Linked DNA regions of Callithrix jacchus. The protein of the gene in region 1 purifies or fractionates together with the protein of each later gene. This does not show direct contact. Links are inferred from orthologs where the notes say so. Each region holds a gene or a part of one and is shown on either strand. Other genes may lie near its edges.

What was found.
Region 2: the proteins of DMD (region 1) and SNTB1 purify together in Homo sapiens (co-immunoprecipitation; 4 studies listed by BioGRID and IntAct, counting the BioPlex papers as one, with this or other methods). This does not show direct contact. The link is inferred for Callithrix jacchus from reciprocal best matches to the Homo sapiens genes DMD and SNTB1.
Region 3: the proteins of DMD (region 1) and SNTB2 purify together in Homo sapiens (co-immunoprecipitation; 4 studies listed by BioGRID and IntAct, counting the BioPlex papers as one, with this or other methods). This does not show direct contact. The link is inferred for Callithrix jacchus from reciprocal best matches to the Homo sapiens genes DMD and SNTB2.

What each region holds. Positions count from the first base shown.
Region 1 is NC_133524.1:34,128,241-34,133,594, reverse strand, and holds the start of DMD (dystrophin), read left to right. Parts: upstream 1-2,078; 5' UTR 2,079-2,320; coding exon of another isoform or gene 2,321-2,351; intron 2,352-5,354. UniProt on the Homo sapiens protein: Anchors the extracellular matrix to the cytoskeleton via F-actin. Ligand for dystroglycan.
Region 2 is NC_133517.1:76,670,607-76,675,860, reverse strand, and holds part of SNTB1 (beta-1-syntrophin), read right to left. Parts: intron 3,892-5,254; coding exon 3,675-3,891; intron 3,181-3,674; exon of another isoform or gene 3,138-3,180; intron 1-3,137. UniProt on the Homo sapiens protein: Adapter protein that binds to and probably organizes the subcellular localization of a variety of membrane proteins. May link various receptors to the actin cytoskeleton and the dystrophin glycoprotein complex.
Region 3 is NC_133521.1:26,736,999-26,742,352, reverse strand, and holds the start of SNTB2 (beta-2-syntrophin), read right to left. Parts: upstream 3,006-5,354; 5' UTR 2,989-3,005; coding exon 2,409-2,988; intron 1-2,408. UniProt on the Homo sapiens protein: Adapter protein that binds to and probably organizes the subcellular localization of a variety of membrane proteins. May link various receptors to the actin cytoskeleton and the dystrophin glycoprotein complex.

The DNA.
Region 1 (5,354 bases):
GCAAGTTTTTTAGAGTGGGGCTGATAAATCCTACCAGATGTAGTTATTTTGAGGACTAGAGGAGAAAGATAAGTGATTAAGGGACACAAGAATGTACTGTGGTGACACAATCTGAACTGAAATTCATTAGGTTTGCTCTAAATTTTATTTTACATGCCTTTCACTTTTCAACTTATTTTAAGCATATATTTCCACCCACATTATAAAATCTTGACGGAAGTATATGCATTCTGCACAATGCAGAAATTATTACAGATGCCAAATAAATTCAGATTATCAACTAAGACTGAATGGCAATTAAAATGTATCTGAGGACATTCAGACCTATCAGGATTTGGTGCTTTAGATATTCCCCAGGACACATTTTTTTGTTACATTTAGAATCACAGTTGTTTTTTAGAAACATACACTTCAGGGTTTCTCAAAGTTGACCATGCATTCGAATCACCGGTAAAACAGTGCTGGGTCCCAACCCCAGAATTTCTAACTTTTGAGGTCTCGTGTCAACTTGCACTTCTCCTAAGTTCCCACGTGATATTAATGCTGGTTTGGGACTGATAAATTGTATCAGTTAGGCCTTGGCCTAAAGAAGGGTTTACGTCTGTAGAAAACTCACAGTACTAGATAAAAGGGGACTTATACACTGGACAATATTGTACCTCGTTATATAGAAGGACATTGATGCTAACATGTAGACTTAGAGCCAAATAAGCCCCCAAATCATTTTTTTACTTTTTTCATGTTGTTCTATGAAAATTTTGCTTATCTGCATATTTAGACAATCACACTGAGAAGAAAGCTGGTAACCTACAGAAAAGAATGTTATAAATCTATTTTGAAAGAAGTAAATTAAATACAATTACCTTAAAATTAGGCCTTATGTTTTAGTTCATATACATTTTGCTGGGGAAATAGCAGTTATGACAATAATATTCTAAAACACAAAATGAATAATTAACTATTAAGGTAAACATCACAGTCTGACTCAATATGTTTTTTTTATTTTTATCTGTTACTCATTTCTGCGGCAAGCAGTTGAATGTTTGACATAGAAAAATGAGTCTGTCACTTTAAAAAATGGTACAATAAAAACACTCAAACAAAAATTTTAGTAGGGATTATTATAACTGTAAAAGGAATATCTTTCTAAAAAATATTACCAGTGTTTCCTATCAATTTTGGGCTCGCCTGTTGCATAAAAGTAATAAGGAAGAAGACAAAGTGGACTTCTATTGGCAAAGAATGATTTACATGCTGAATGACACAATACAACTGTATTCATTTAATACAGGAAAAAAAAGCCTTTAATTAGAACCATTAAATGGTCATTAACTCATTGTCTAAGAAAACGGTGTTTTAAGAATTGGCACCAGAGAAATGGAAAATAGAATAATTTGGTAGTAAAGAAGTTTTATCATAATTCACAACTGAAATTTAGGATTTGAGAAAAATTTATTTACTCCATTATAAGAGTGTTCTTTATTTCAGCAGGAAAACTTGTCCCATGAGACCTACACAGACATTCTGCCTTCAGAATTCAGCTGCTGAATTCTGCTGCTGCTTTTCTTATTCAAACTGTTGGCATCATCAATACATGACTTTTGATTGGATCCCAAGGGTAAAAAATAACTTTGGTAGACAGCAGATACATAACAAATGCATAGATTATTCTGGGCATTTCTTTCTTTTGGTAGAGTGAAATTTTTGGTGTTGTTAAGAAGGGGAAAAATGCATTTAAAAGTCAATTTTGAATCAGGATTTTCTGCTCTGTTATTTTGTAAATTCACGTAACAGTTACAGAAAATATTGTTATGGTTTGGTACTGAATAGTTTTTGTGTTTAGAAGGCTTTAAAAGCAAATACTATGTCCACTGTGCTATTCTGGTTTGGATATTAATCAGAACACAGTTGAGCATTATTTGAATTCACAGAGCTTGCCATGCTGGAAGCACAACCTTATATGTAGTGACCATGGACAGTCCTATTATGGGAAACCAACTTGAGAGAGAAGGCGGGTCACTTGCTTGTGCGCAGGTCCTGGAATTTGAAATATCCAGGGGCCTCTACAGAATCCTGGCATCAGTTACTATGTTGACTCACTCAGTGTTGGGATCACTCACTTTCCCCCTACAGGACTCAGATCTTGGAGGCAATTCCCTTCAGAGAAAAACGAATAGGAAAAACTGAAGTGTTATTTTTTTAAGGCTGCTGAAGTGGATTGGTTTCTCGTTGTTTTTAAGCCTACTGAAGAAATAAAGTTTGAAGAACTTTTACCAGGTTTTTTTTTTTTAATTGCTGCCTTGATATACACTTTTCCAAAATGCTTTGGTGGGAAGAAGTAGAGGACTGTTGTAAGTACAAAGTAACTAAAAATATCTTTTACTGTGCCATAACGTTTAGTTTGTGACAAGCTCACTAATTAGGCATATTGATTTTAAGTGAGTAGTTTGCAAAGAAGCATAAATGTTATATATACTGCATATATATATATTTTTTTCAGGTATTATATTTTTCATTGGGAAAACCTTTCAACAGAAATGGAGTTTAAAAGAGTTTTTTTGTGATAGAATTAAACACATAATTTCTTGATTAAGAAACCACTGAAGTAATAGAATATGCAGAATGTCATTTGAGTATAACAGACTATTTTGATTGCTGTGAGATAGTTTGTATTTCTGAGTTATTATTTTGATTAGTTGGTACTTCTGTATTTAGTTACAGTTACATAAAGGTTACTGACCTGAGATATATTCTCAATTGAACTAATTACTGTATAGGAACTACATGGAGGCCTAAAAGTTAGGAAAAGTTTGTCTGACATATCATGGGGGAAATAAAGGATAATATGAGTTGGGATGGATAATTGGAAGATGGGAAAAGTATTGACAAGATTTAACTGTAATGTTTCTTACTCATATTTACTATTTCAAATGCTCTTTTCTGTAGTGTATTGTGATAACTTTTTCAAATAATTATTTCAAACAAATCACACAAATAATGATATGATCTATGCTCTCAAATGATCAGATGATCTCTTCTTGGGAAAACAACATACAAACTTGAGGAGATCCTAATTATATTTCATAGTAAAGTTACCATGTTGTTTCATGTCTATTATGAGCTAGCTTTTCAGTACAACTTTTTAGTCTGGCTTTCATATAGAAATGCAACTATTTTGTGTATTTTTAAGAAAGCCATGATGACTAATGAAGGATTTAAAAAGGGACCGAGGCACAACAGTAAAAATAATGTACAATAAGGATTGTGTGTCCCAGAGATGGGAGATTATCTCTTCCTCACCCATCTTTGACTTGTGGAATATAGTTATTCTAAAATAGGTATGAGGGCAATGCCTATAATTAAGAATGAAAAAATAAATCTTTCTAAATAAGTAATACTCTACAACTTCTAAAAACAAAATCAGAAGTTTGCCACTGTGAAAAATTTGTGGAAATAAGTTAACATTGTCCATGTATTGATTCACATTAAAAGCTATCAGATTTTATAATATAACAGTTAACTTATATTGTTTCCTTACTTCATAAATCTCTTTTGGTGAGCATCATTATTGCTTTCAGATTGAAAAACTGTTATACTTACTATCATTACAAAAATATGCATGGTATATATCTGTAGTTTGCAACATACACACATATTTTTTATTTGTTGTTTTTATTTCTTTGATATTTATAACATAAATACTATCAAAATCACTAGTGATTATATATATATATATATTCTACATAATTAAACTCATACACAAGTATATAATGCAATTTTGAAAGAATAGATGCAATTATGCTGGAATAAAGCAAGGTAAACCTACACTCTGTTTTGTCATAGATACTCAAATAACTCTCAATTCTTAGAATGTGAAGAAAGCTAATCATTTTGGGACATGTCCTGTAGGATTTTTTCACACTACATTTAAGAAATCATCAAGTAATGCCTATGCCACATGACAATGAATTTGTTAAGAAAAAAATAGAGATATTCTCAGGGTTATTTTATACATTAAATTTTGCTGTTTGTTAACATACTGCTATTGGGATGTTTGACATTTGAATCCAGTTTTAAAATTTGCCTTAGTTTGAAAAACTTACAAAAGTACATTTTGTTGTTTTTAACCAAATTAGCTACCCGTTAAAACAGATCACTGTATTGTCAAACACATTGAATTGTTTACTTTTAGAATTACTCAAATAATGCATTGTAAAGAATTATTCAGGCAGTGTATTGCAAACAGACATTTCATTTGAATATATTTAAATGATGTAAGTCATCTTGAAGTCTACTAAAATCGTCATTTAGAATTTCATTTGCAGAATCTTAAAGGCATTTTAACTATGAAAAAGAGATTGCTAATCTAAATTGATGATACAATGTTTAATACAAAGCTTTTGGTGTATCTTACATGGCATTAGATTATGAAAAATACATTAGAGTATGTCATATGTATGTTACTCTAAACTTTAAAAAAGACTACAAAGTGTTTCATGCATAATTACATTATTTAAGGGAAAAAAGATGTTGGTTGACACTATTCCACCTAGGCAGCACTGAATTGCAAATTCATAATTTGGGCAGAGATATTAATACAGCTTCCTCTTTAGTCCTATAGTATTCATTTGAAATCCCTGTGCTCCACGTCATTTGCTACGTAGGAAACAAATTGTCAAGTTTTTAACCACTTGTGTTGTTTAATAAAAGAGATTAAAATCATTGTCTTGGAAACATCAGGTGTTTTTCAAAATTCTATTTTATTATCTTTCATCACAATTTTATCTCAGGAGAAAAACAAAGTGACTTCACGAACTTTTCTTCTCCTTCCACCTTCTATTGTAATAATTTCCTAACTTATTGAAAATGATTTATCATACTTTTTCTTCAATTTATTCTTTATTTCATCACACATACAAGAAACACAGTATTTTGGTATGAGTATATATGTTTATATATACACACATTTATATGCATTCAATTCACAGGGTATTACATTTCCTAAGAGGTTCTAATTAGAAATTAACCCCTCTTTAAAGATAATCTTCTGTTCACTTTTCAAAATTTTCTGTTTTAAACACATCATTTTCTAAGCAATTGACAAGTGAGTCTAATGCATGTTCCCTGTTTGACAAAACAGAACAAACCATGAAGGAAGAATTTATGGGGCCCGAGGTTATACAATTTTGGGTGCTATTTTAAGAAAAAATAATACATAATTAGACACAGCCTTGGGAGGGGCCATGTAAATAAGGCTTTAATAGTTTCTTGGGAAATCACCTCTGTATGAAAAGCTGTGTTGAGATTGAATTTTTTCCCAGTTATACTTTAAAATAAAATTGATGCTAGTTATA
Region 2 (5,254 bases), on another chromosome or scaffold:
TTATGTGGTTTGGATCTTCCACATCCTTATAGTAAGTCACCCCTTACTCATGGTCTCAGTTCCCATGGTTTCAGTTACCTGAGGTCAACTGCAGTCCAAAAACAGGTGAGTTCAATAAAACATTTTGATAGAGAGAGAGAGAGAGATACCATATTCACATAACTTTTATTATAGCATATTATTATAATTATTCTATTTCATTAGCATTGTGGTTAATCTCTTACTGTGCCTACTTTATAAATTAAACTTCATCATAGATACGTATGTATAGGAAAAAACACAGTATGTAGAGGAGCCAGTACTGTCCATGGTTTCAGGCATCCACTAGGGGTCCTGTTACATTTCTTCCATGAATAAGGGGGAGTTACTATCTTTATCTGTGTCCTCTACTTGCCCTGACTTGGATGGAAAATGGTATATGTTGAAATATCTAATGTGAATATGTTTCCGTCTGTTTCTTCTTGCATCTTCTGCAGTTTCTGCTATAAAAGTTGCTGTTGTGTTATGTGGTATGTATTCAGAACTACTGAATGTTGCTTGTGAACTCTGGCCTTCGACATCAATTAATCCTTCCTTGTGCTACTTTATGGACATTTAACCTTGGATGTTTTTCAGCCTGAATTCTACCTTGTCTTCTATCAAGATCAAAAATCAACGCTTTCTGTTGTTATTTAATAGTTGGCATTTGCCTGGTAAGCTTTTGCCCATCCTTGTATCTTTCACCTTTTAAAATCACTCCGTTAGGTGTGTCTCTTGCATTCAGCAGAGTTGGGTTTTGCAGATTCCATGTTTCTGACTGGTACACCATACCCTGCTCAGCCTGTAACTGGAGTTTCACAAAATGTTTGTTTCCTGTTTATTTTCTTCTCTTCCTCTACCATGGGCAAGCCTCACATAGGCCCCCAGTCTTCTTGTTAGCAGAAGTTTGGGACCTGTCGGGACCTGGTGTTCCTTGAGAATCATCTGGCTTAGCTGGATTCGTCCTGATGGTTCTCACACCCTGGCAGAACAGGGAAGCCCTGTGTATAATCACCAGTGGTAGACTTGACAAGCACCAATATAAAAGCTTGAAACTTATTCTCCTCTCCTGGCTTGACACACAGACTCAAGTTTCCAATATCTCGATTAAGGTCTGATGTCCCCCAACATATTCCTTAACATATAATTAAATGACCTGGGAGTGCTATTGTAGCATGTAAGTTGATTTCCGAAAGGAACCCAAGAAGTCATCTTCTTAAATTTTCTCCCTAGTATATTAATGGCTCCTACAATGTCCCAGTCAGTTTTTGTCTTCGTTTGCATTTTTTCGGGAAATGATTAACTGACACTGTCACCCATTTTATAGGCATCAGTTTGAAGCCCAGTTAGACTATGTAACAGTTATATAATGTTGAGAACATCTATAAACATATTTAGTCTCAATTTTTTGTCTGTAGAATAGGGACATGATAGAAACTGAGAGAGCTGTTAAGAGGACTAAGCAGGGTTACAAATTCAAAGATTAAGCAGGTGATTAATTGAATTCTCTAAGCATAAGGTCATAGGAGTGGTGAGAAGAGTTCATTCCCTTGTCAATGGAGAAAACTCTACTGAGCTCTGGTATATCACTGCCCTGCCTGCATCGATGTGGGCCCAGTAACATCACCAATTCCTCCAACTTTTCTAGAAAAGCAGAAATCTGGCTTTTTAAATGTGAAATTTCCCAATTATTGAACATGGCAGCTGATTAAAATTTATTTAAACACTAGACAGGCCATTCAAAAAAACATATCTGTAGGCTGCCACTCTGCAATCTCTGGTCTACATTAATTAGCAGAATGTCTAGCACATAATGGGCACTCAATATTACAACATGAATTCATCACAACTGAAAACTTTGACATCAGATCCTTGGGAGATGGGACTTGTTTGACTGGGTGGGCAGAAGGCCAAGGCAAAGGAGACTGAGTACCCACGACATTGACTGCAGGCCCAGACACTCTGAAGAAACAGTAGGGAACAAAACAGAGAACAGAACGAGAGTGGACCAGTGATGAGCTCTGTCTCCTTCCCAGTCTGTCTGCTCTTACCCCTCTTCCCAATGCTTGCTGGCTTTCTCGTACAACTGGCCGATCTCTGTACAGAAATAACTAATACAGGAGTAGGGGGAGAGGGGTAGAAACATCCTGCAGCTGGCCAGAGTCAGAAGGGCCCTGGCAGCATCCTTACAGTGAGCTAACTGAGATGAGAACAAAAAAGACATTCAGCTGGGAGCCAAGGAACTTTCTCCCTACCCCTATTCCTGATGACTTTTCCCCATCAGCAACTCTGAACCTAGCCAAATACTTTCTGTTCGGGTGGGTTGCAGCTGTCCCACACACATTCTAAATAAGGGCCAGTTGAGCAGTTCCTATTTTTAGCACTTTAATGTGGATGCAAAGGTCACCAAGCTTCCCCATTTGCTGGCTCAATTCCTCACTGTCTTTATTTATCTTATTTTCCTCCTAAAATATATGTTTTCTACTGAGCTAAAGTAAGACTTCTGGGGGATGAGGGACCCCAAATTTTACTTGCTCTTGGCTGCATTCCTTATAGTTGCCATGGGTTGGGTGATATATCTAGCCTGTGGCATGCAAAGTCATGTTCCGACTCTGGGAAACAGCATTCCAGACTTGGACCAAAGCCACTCCTTTTGCTCTCATGAGCATAAAGAGATGCTTAGAGTAGAAAATAGCTTTAAAGCGTTTCTCAGCTAACCCTCCAAGTATACAGTTGACAGCACCGGGGCCCAGAAAGGTGAATTTGCTTATTACTGTCTAACATAAATAAGAAACATTACTAGAGCTTATATTCATGGAAGATTTTCCTGTGCTGAGTACTTTACGTGGTGTATTAATCCATTTTGTGTTGCTCTAAATGAATACCTGTAGCTGGGTGATTTACAAGATAAGAGGTTTATTTGGCTCATGTTTCTACAGGCTGTACCAGGAAGCATGGCTGTGGCATCTGCTTCTGATGAGGGCTTCAGGGAGCTTCCACTCATGGTGGAAGGGGCAGGGAAGCCAATAAGTCATGTGGCAAGAAAGAGAGGGGAGGTATGCCATGCTTTTTAAAATAACCAGCTCTCACTTGAACTAACAGAGCAAAAACTCACTCACCACCTCTGGCAGGCACCAAGCCATCAGAGGGATCCTCCCCCATGACCCAAACACCTCTCACTGGACCCCATCTCCAACCTTGGGGATCACATTTAAACATGAGATTTGGAGGGGACAAACATGCAGACGACACCACATGGATTTCCTCATTTAATTCTCACAACCCAACAAGGCATCTATTTCAATTATTCCCATCTTAGAGACGACAAAACTGAGGGTAAGTGGTTTAGGAAACTTGCCCTAAGTCACATGCACTGGTAATGATAATATGCTGAAGACATTTAGGATGCTGATTCCAGTTTTTCAGCTCTTTCCAGAACCAGGGCTCAGTGTATAGATTCATTTTCTCTCTCTCTCTCTCTCACTCTCTCTCTCACAGACACATACACACACACACACACACACACGCCCTTTCATGTTTTTCTTTGGAGGCTACAATGTGTTTTCAGAACATGAGTGCAACCTGGTGAAAGCTCCCACTTAGCCTAAGAGGCCAAGTAGCTGCTAGATACGGAGGAGAGTTTTGACTCTGTTTACCTGCTCTCAGGGTCGGCCAAGGCCATACTCCGAGTGACGTAACACATTTTGAGAGGGATGCTTTTCCGGTCTCTGTGGAAGGAGAAGGACTGCGATGACGGAGGGTCTGAGGTGCTGCCCCCTAACCGAGGGGATTCAGGTGGAGGCGTTTCCCACCCAATCTCAGATACTGGGGATCCTTTCTTCACATAGGGCGTGGCTTCTCGCATGTACTTCACTGCAATCAAAAAGACAGGAAGTGCTTTTAAGTACACCAAAACTGAGTTTCTGGGAAGTCTGATTGTATTTCTGAAAATTATATAGCTCTGTGGATCTTAGAACTTGCTGTTATAATGTCCTACAGTTGAGAATTGTGTCTAGTTTTTTTCAACTGTGACAATTTTTACATTTTCTGATTATAAGTCTTGCATTCTGGGAAAAAGGCTGAAAACAAGGATAATTTAGGCTAAAAGATACATTATTCAATACAGATGTAAGGAATAGGGTAGCTACATTCACTACTCATGATGCCATTTTTCTGTTGAGAAACAATGATAGGGCTTTCAATTTAATAGTGTTAAGGAAACACATACAAAGAAATAAAAAATGTGTAATAGCAAAAAAATTATTTGTAAGAGCTGATAGCCAGAAACAATGTAAATATCCATTAAAAAGGAACAGATTAATTAAATTGTAAGACATCTATATCATCATTTAAAAAGTGTGTGTGTGTGTGTGTGTGTGTGTGTGTGTGTGGATGTGTTGATGTGGAAAGACCTGTAAGATCTATTATTAGTAGGGAAAAAAGGAGAAAGAAATACATATACTGTAATATCTTTGTATATAAATTCATAAATATGTGCTTATATGCCTACAATTATTTTTTGGTAGAAATATAAGAAATTGCTAAGACAAGTTAGCTCTGGGAATTGGAAATAAAAGCCACAATGATTAAGAAATAGGCTTTTACTATTTATTTATTACTCTTTTATATCATTTTCGTGTTTAACCGTATGTGTGTATTACTTTCATAATGCTTAAGAAAACAAAACTAGCTTAAGAGCCAAGTGGAGCAGACTGAAGTTCTGCTCCTTGATGTGTTTTGCCGTGGTATTAAGAAGGATTTTTGCCTATTCTGAATTTGAGCATTTGGTCCTTAGACAGCTTTTGAGTTGACAGGGCAATGAGATTCTTGGAACATGCAATACACAACTGCATGTTCTCTCTCTATCACCCACATACTCTGGTTCTGTGCTGCCTGGGGAGACTTGGTTAAGTCCCTCACAGGTATTTGTTATTACAAATGGCAGTGGATTGGAATAAAAGCAAACCAGGGGGCATTTCCTCCAGATCTTTGACAAATCAGTTCCACCAACTAGTGCCTTCTCTATGCAAGACATGGACAGGAGTATGGAGACCACAGAGATGAACAGTACCCTCTATACCCAGTGTTACAAAATCATGGGTGACTACAGTGGATGCTGTTGGTGTCCCATCTAGAATCCTTTTCCTATATCCTAGCTGCTGTGTGGTGAGTGAGAACAACTCATAGCTGCCCCCTGCTCTTGGCCCGACAAAAGCTTCTAAGCTTGGGAGGCTGC
Region 3 (5,354 bases), on another chromosome or scaffold:
AACACCTGAGTTAGGTAAAAAGGCATTCAATAAATGTTATTATGCTGTCATCTTCCTAAAAGCATAAGTGGCCAATTTAGTCTAACAAATACTGGGAAGCATTTACTACAAGGTTTTCGTTTTGCTGGTCTGAATACTATGTTCAAACTATACCTACACAAAAAGTGGGTTTTTTGTTTGTTTTTGAGATGTAGTCTTGCTCTGTCACCCAGGCTGGAGTGCAGTGGTGCTATCTCAGCTCACTGCAACCTCCGCCTTCCGGGTTCAAACAATTCTCCTGTCTCGGCCTCCCTAGTAGCTGGAATTACAGGCGTGCACCACCACCCACAGCTAATTTTTGAATTTTTAGTAGAGAGGAGGTTTTGCTGGGTTCTCCTAACCTCAGGTGATCCACCCGCCTTGGCCTCCCAAAGTGCTGGGATTATAGGCATAAGCCACCTCGCCTGGCCAAAAAGTGTTGTTTTTAAAAAATATGGTGTAAAGGGTTCAACTGAGGACTACATAAATAGTACTAAATTCAATATTCTGGATATAAGAATTTATAACCAAATGCTTAGCTAGACCAATTTCAAGGCACACATTTAAAATAACAATTTTTTTTTTTTTTTTTGAGACGGAGTTTTGCTCCTTACCCAGGCTGGAGTGCAATGGTGCGATCTCAGCTCACCACAACCTCCACCTCCTGGGTTCAAGCAATTCTCCTGCCTCAGCCTCCTGAGTAGCTGGGATTACAGGCATGTGCCACCATGCCCAGCTAATTTTTTGTATTTTTAGTAGAGACGGGGTTTCACCATGTTGACCAGGATGGCCTCGATCTCTTGACCTCGTGATCCACCCGCCTCGACCTCGCAAAGTGCTGGGATTACAGGCTTGAGCCACCGCGCACGGCCAAAATAACAATTTTTTTAGACACACCCAAACCACAATCTATAATTTTACTCCTTCTATTAACACTAAATTTCCGAGCCGTGTCTAGCCCCACCTAGACATCCAAAATAAACAAGGTTTACAAATAGGATATTATAAAGGTGGGACACGAATTTCACAACTGGTGTACATGAAATCATTTCTGATAAACCAGTATTTTTCCAAATATTCACAAGCTGATTTATAAGAAACTGAAAATTATTGTGCCAAGTTGGACTTCTGGCCTCTCGGTTTGATGATTGGTCCTTCCCTTCTGTCTTCCTCTGCCAGGAATACTCTCCTGACTCATCCCTGCCTGCCTATGTCCATCACTTCCTTGGAGAACTGGCTCAGGGAAAAAGTCCTGCCTGCCTAATTCCATCTCTACTAACTACTTTCTAACTTTGCATTCCCTTGGGACTTAAATACAGTTTGCACGACATAATCACCAACTTCATCCCTTTCCTTCCTATAAGTTGTTTTGCATTTTTCTATCATTTCTCCAATAAGAGACCAAGAAGGGACAGCATCTTCTTTCATATTCTTTTCAACACAGCTAGCAATAATCACCAGTGAAAGAAAGCTGACCTCTCAAAAATTGCTAAAGAAAGCAACTGACTTTTCGTTTACAGTTTACTCTATCACCTCCAATATGCATGAGTCCTTAAAGGAGAGGAATTTTATTTTTGCCTTACTTCAAATTCATCATAAAAGATCCAACTTACAAATCACATATATAACTTAATGTAAAGAATAATCCTGGTTATTGAAAGTTATCTTGTGATTTACCATTTCAAGTTTCTTACAAAAGCCGTAATAGTCTTGAAGCAGCGCGCCTGTGAGTGGAAGGAAGCTGGCAGCAGACTCTTGCAAAAGGGGCAAAACTCTAGTTGGCAGTAAATGTTCAAACACGTGATCCTCCACTGTTAAGGTTCATTAACCACACAGACTTGCTGTTTCAGCTTTCTGGCTTCAATGAAGTGCTATGATCTCCTTTGGTTATTGTTGAGAGCCAATGATGGGTTAAATTCCCATAAATTAACCAGCGCTTTGGTGGTTTGCCCAAGTATACCGCTGGCATCGGTGTTGGACTTTTTTTAATAGACCTGCCCGCCCCGAAGAGCCAGAGTTGAGTGAGTTAAGCGCCAACCCGGCACTTCTCAGCGGGCAAACGGAGACAGACCCACTCGAGCCGTTCGCTCTCCCTCTAGTTCTTAGTGTCAGCTTATCCGGCCGAGGGGGAGCTTCATGGGAAGCTGCTTTTTGCCCAATCTCAGCCGAGTCTTCCTTAGGGGCTGCAAGCCACACTTCGGCGGCTGCCCAACTTTTCCTGCAAGAAGCATCCGTTTTTCCACACTCTAAGTTCCAGAAACCCGGGTTTGGGAAGAGACGGGGAGAGAACCGGCTCGCCCCGTCGGCAGGGAAGGAACAAAGTGAGCTCCCGCGAGCCCAAGCCGCCGCGGCCCGCCCACCCTCCCGCCCCGTCGGCCGGCCCCACTCACCCTCCAGCAGCACCTCCTTGCCCGCGCGCTTCAGCGCCTGCACGGCCTGGTCGTGGGTGGCCTGGCGCAGGTCGGTGCCGTTCACCGACAGGATGGCGTCGCCCAGCCGCAGCGCCCGGCTCTGGTCGGCGGCCAGCCCCGGGAAGATCTTGGAGATGAGGATCGGCATCCGGTTCTCGCGGCCGCCCTTGATGCTGATGCCCAGGCCGCCCGCCTCTTGCTTCACCACCCGCACACGGCGCACGGGCGGCGACGCGCCCGCCTCACCCGCGGGGCCCCGAGGCGGCGCCGGTGGGCTCGGGGGCCCCAGGCCGCGGCTCGGGCTCCCAGGCAGCGAGTCGCCGGCGCCGCCGCCGTTCGGAAGGCCGTTGAAGGCGGCCGCCGCGGGTCCCAGAGCGGGCTCCAGCTCGGCCGCGGCGCCGTCGCCAGTCAGGCTCAGGCTCTCCCCGCTCAGTTCCGCCACCACTCGGACCCAGCGCTCCCTCAGGAGTAGCTCCACCAGCCCAGCTTTGGTGGCCCGCGTCCACACCGCCATGGCCGGCCCCTCTCCAGCCGCCGCAGTCGCCACAGCTACCCTCATTCCAGTCAGGCAGCCTCAGCGCTTCCCCCTTCCCGCCCGGAGGGGCGGGCCCGGCCCTTCCCCGGCGCGATTCATTATTCATGATGCCACGCCCACCTCCCGAGGGGCGGGGCCGGCGCAGCCGCTTCCGGGAGGTGCAGAAGCTGTCGGATCCCTCGCTTGTCGCCGGACGCGGGCAGCCCGAGTGCGGTGGGACTGCATTTCTCATCCTCCTTCCATTGGCTCCCCACGGACCCGCAGAAACTATTGACCTCTACCGTGCAATTCACGGAAGCTGCCTGGGCACGAAAAGCAAAATCAGCTTGGAGAAGCACTTTGCAAGCATGCAAGACCCGGTGGCACGTTCATTCTTGCACTGATTGGTTCGCACCCTGTGTACTGAGCGCTCAACCAGGGACTCCGGCTCCTTCTGAGGCCCTGTAGATAAGCGCAGTAGTACCAGCAACAGCTGAGAGTCTGCGGTCTAGTGGGGAAGGAAAATACAGAACCAACCAACTAGGTGTGATAATACGTGGTTAAATGACATACAGAAAATGTCCCCAGAACAGTATAAAAGGAACATTTGGGCTGGGCGCGGTGGCTCAAGCCTGTAATCCCAGCACTTTGGGAGGCCGAGGCGGGTGGATCACGAGGTCGAGAGATCGAGACCATCCTGGTCAACATGGTGAAACCCCGTCTCTACTAAAAATACAAAAAATTAGCTGGGCATGGTGGCGAGTGCCTGTAATCCCAGCTACTCAGGAGGCTGAGGCGGAAAAATTGCTTGAACCCAGGAGGTGGAGGTTGCGATGAGCCAAGATGGCACCACTGCACTCCAGCCTGGGCAACAAGAATGAAACTGAAAAAAAAAAAAAAAGAAAGGGAAGAAAGTCTGAGAAGGGGCCTGATAGAGGAGGCTCATGCCTGTAATCCCAGCACTTTGGGAGGCTGAGGCAGGTGGATCACTTGAGGTCAGGAGTTTGAGAGTAGCATGGCCAACGTGGTGAAAACTCCATCTCTACTAAAAATAAAAACATTAGCTGGGTGTGGTGGCAGGCCCTTGTAATTTCAGCTCCTAGGGAGGCTGAGGCAGGAGAATTGCTTGAATCCAGGAGATGGAGGTTGCAGTGAGCCAAGATCACGCCAGTGTACTCCAGCCTGGGTGAAAAAGTGAGACCCTGTCTAAAAACAGAAAGTTTGAGTGCATGATAGAATATGTTAGGATGAAAGGAAAAAAAAAAAACAAAACAGGAAGTTTGAGAAGAGGGTGAGGGTGGGAGTGGGGAGGATCATGTAAGTCCGCATCCCCATGCCAAGGCCCAAGAGCCAGGTGCACCAAAGTCTGAGACCAGGAGAAGATCTATGTCCCAGCTCAGGCAGAGTGTGAATTCCCCCTTCCTCTGCCCTTTTGTTCTATTCAAGTCTTCAACTGATTGGATGCTGCCTCCCCATATTGGTGAGGGTGATCTTTAGAGTCTACCATGGAAAGGCTAATCTCTTCCTGAAACACCCACACAGATATACCCAGAGGTTATGTTTTACTAGTTACCTGGGCATCCCTTAGCCCAGTCAAATTGACGCAAAATTAACCATCACAGATGGTTACTGAGGAAGATGCCAGAATTCCAATGTGAACAGAGCATAAGGTCAGTGGAAATGGGAGGATATGAGTATGAAAAGCGAAAACATCAAAGAGTTTGGACTCGACTTTGTAGATCTGACTTTCTTAGCCTGCAGGCCATGGCCTTTTGTTGGGGCAAGTGTACATGCACATTCCCAAAAACTGTATGCAAAATTTGGTCTCTAAGGTTATTTTTGAAGCCTGTGATTCATCCAATTGGCAGGAAGGTGCCATGACCAAAGGCCATGAGCCACTGCTATGCACACTACAGAGCCTGGAGTGGCTGTAATCCAGATACAAGTGATGCAATCCACCCAGCTCTTCCAGCTTCATGGATTAGAACTGAGAAAACTGAGGGCCAGAGAGCCAAAGATGAGAGACCACAGCCCAAAGTCTACAGGAAGGAGGCAGAGACAACTTAGGACTCCCAGCCTCCAGATCCAGGGCTATTTTCACTATACAGTACCCCTCAAACTTCGAAAATATGGTCCAAGTTGGGCACAGTGGCTCACGCCTGTAATCCCAACACTTTGGGAGGCTATGGCTGCCAGATCATTTGAGGTCAGGAGTCTGAGACCAGCCTGACCAACATGGTGAAACCCTGTCTCTACTAAAAATACAAAAAAAAAAAAAATTAGCCAGGTGTGGTGGTGCATGCCTGTAATTTCAGCTTCTTGGGAGGCTGAGGCATCACTTGAATCTAGGAGGCGGAGGTTGTGGTGAGCCAAGATCACACCACTGCACTCCAGCCTGGGTGACAGAGTAA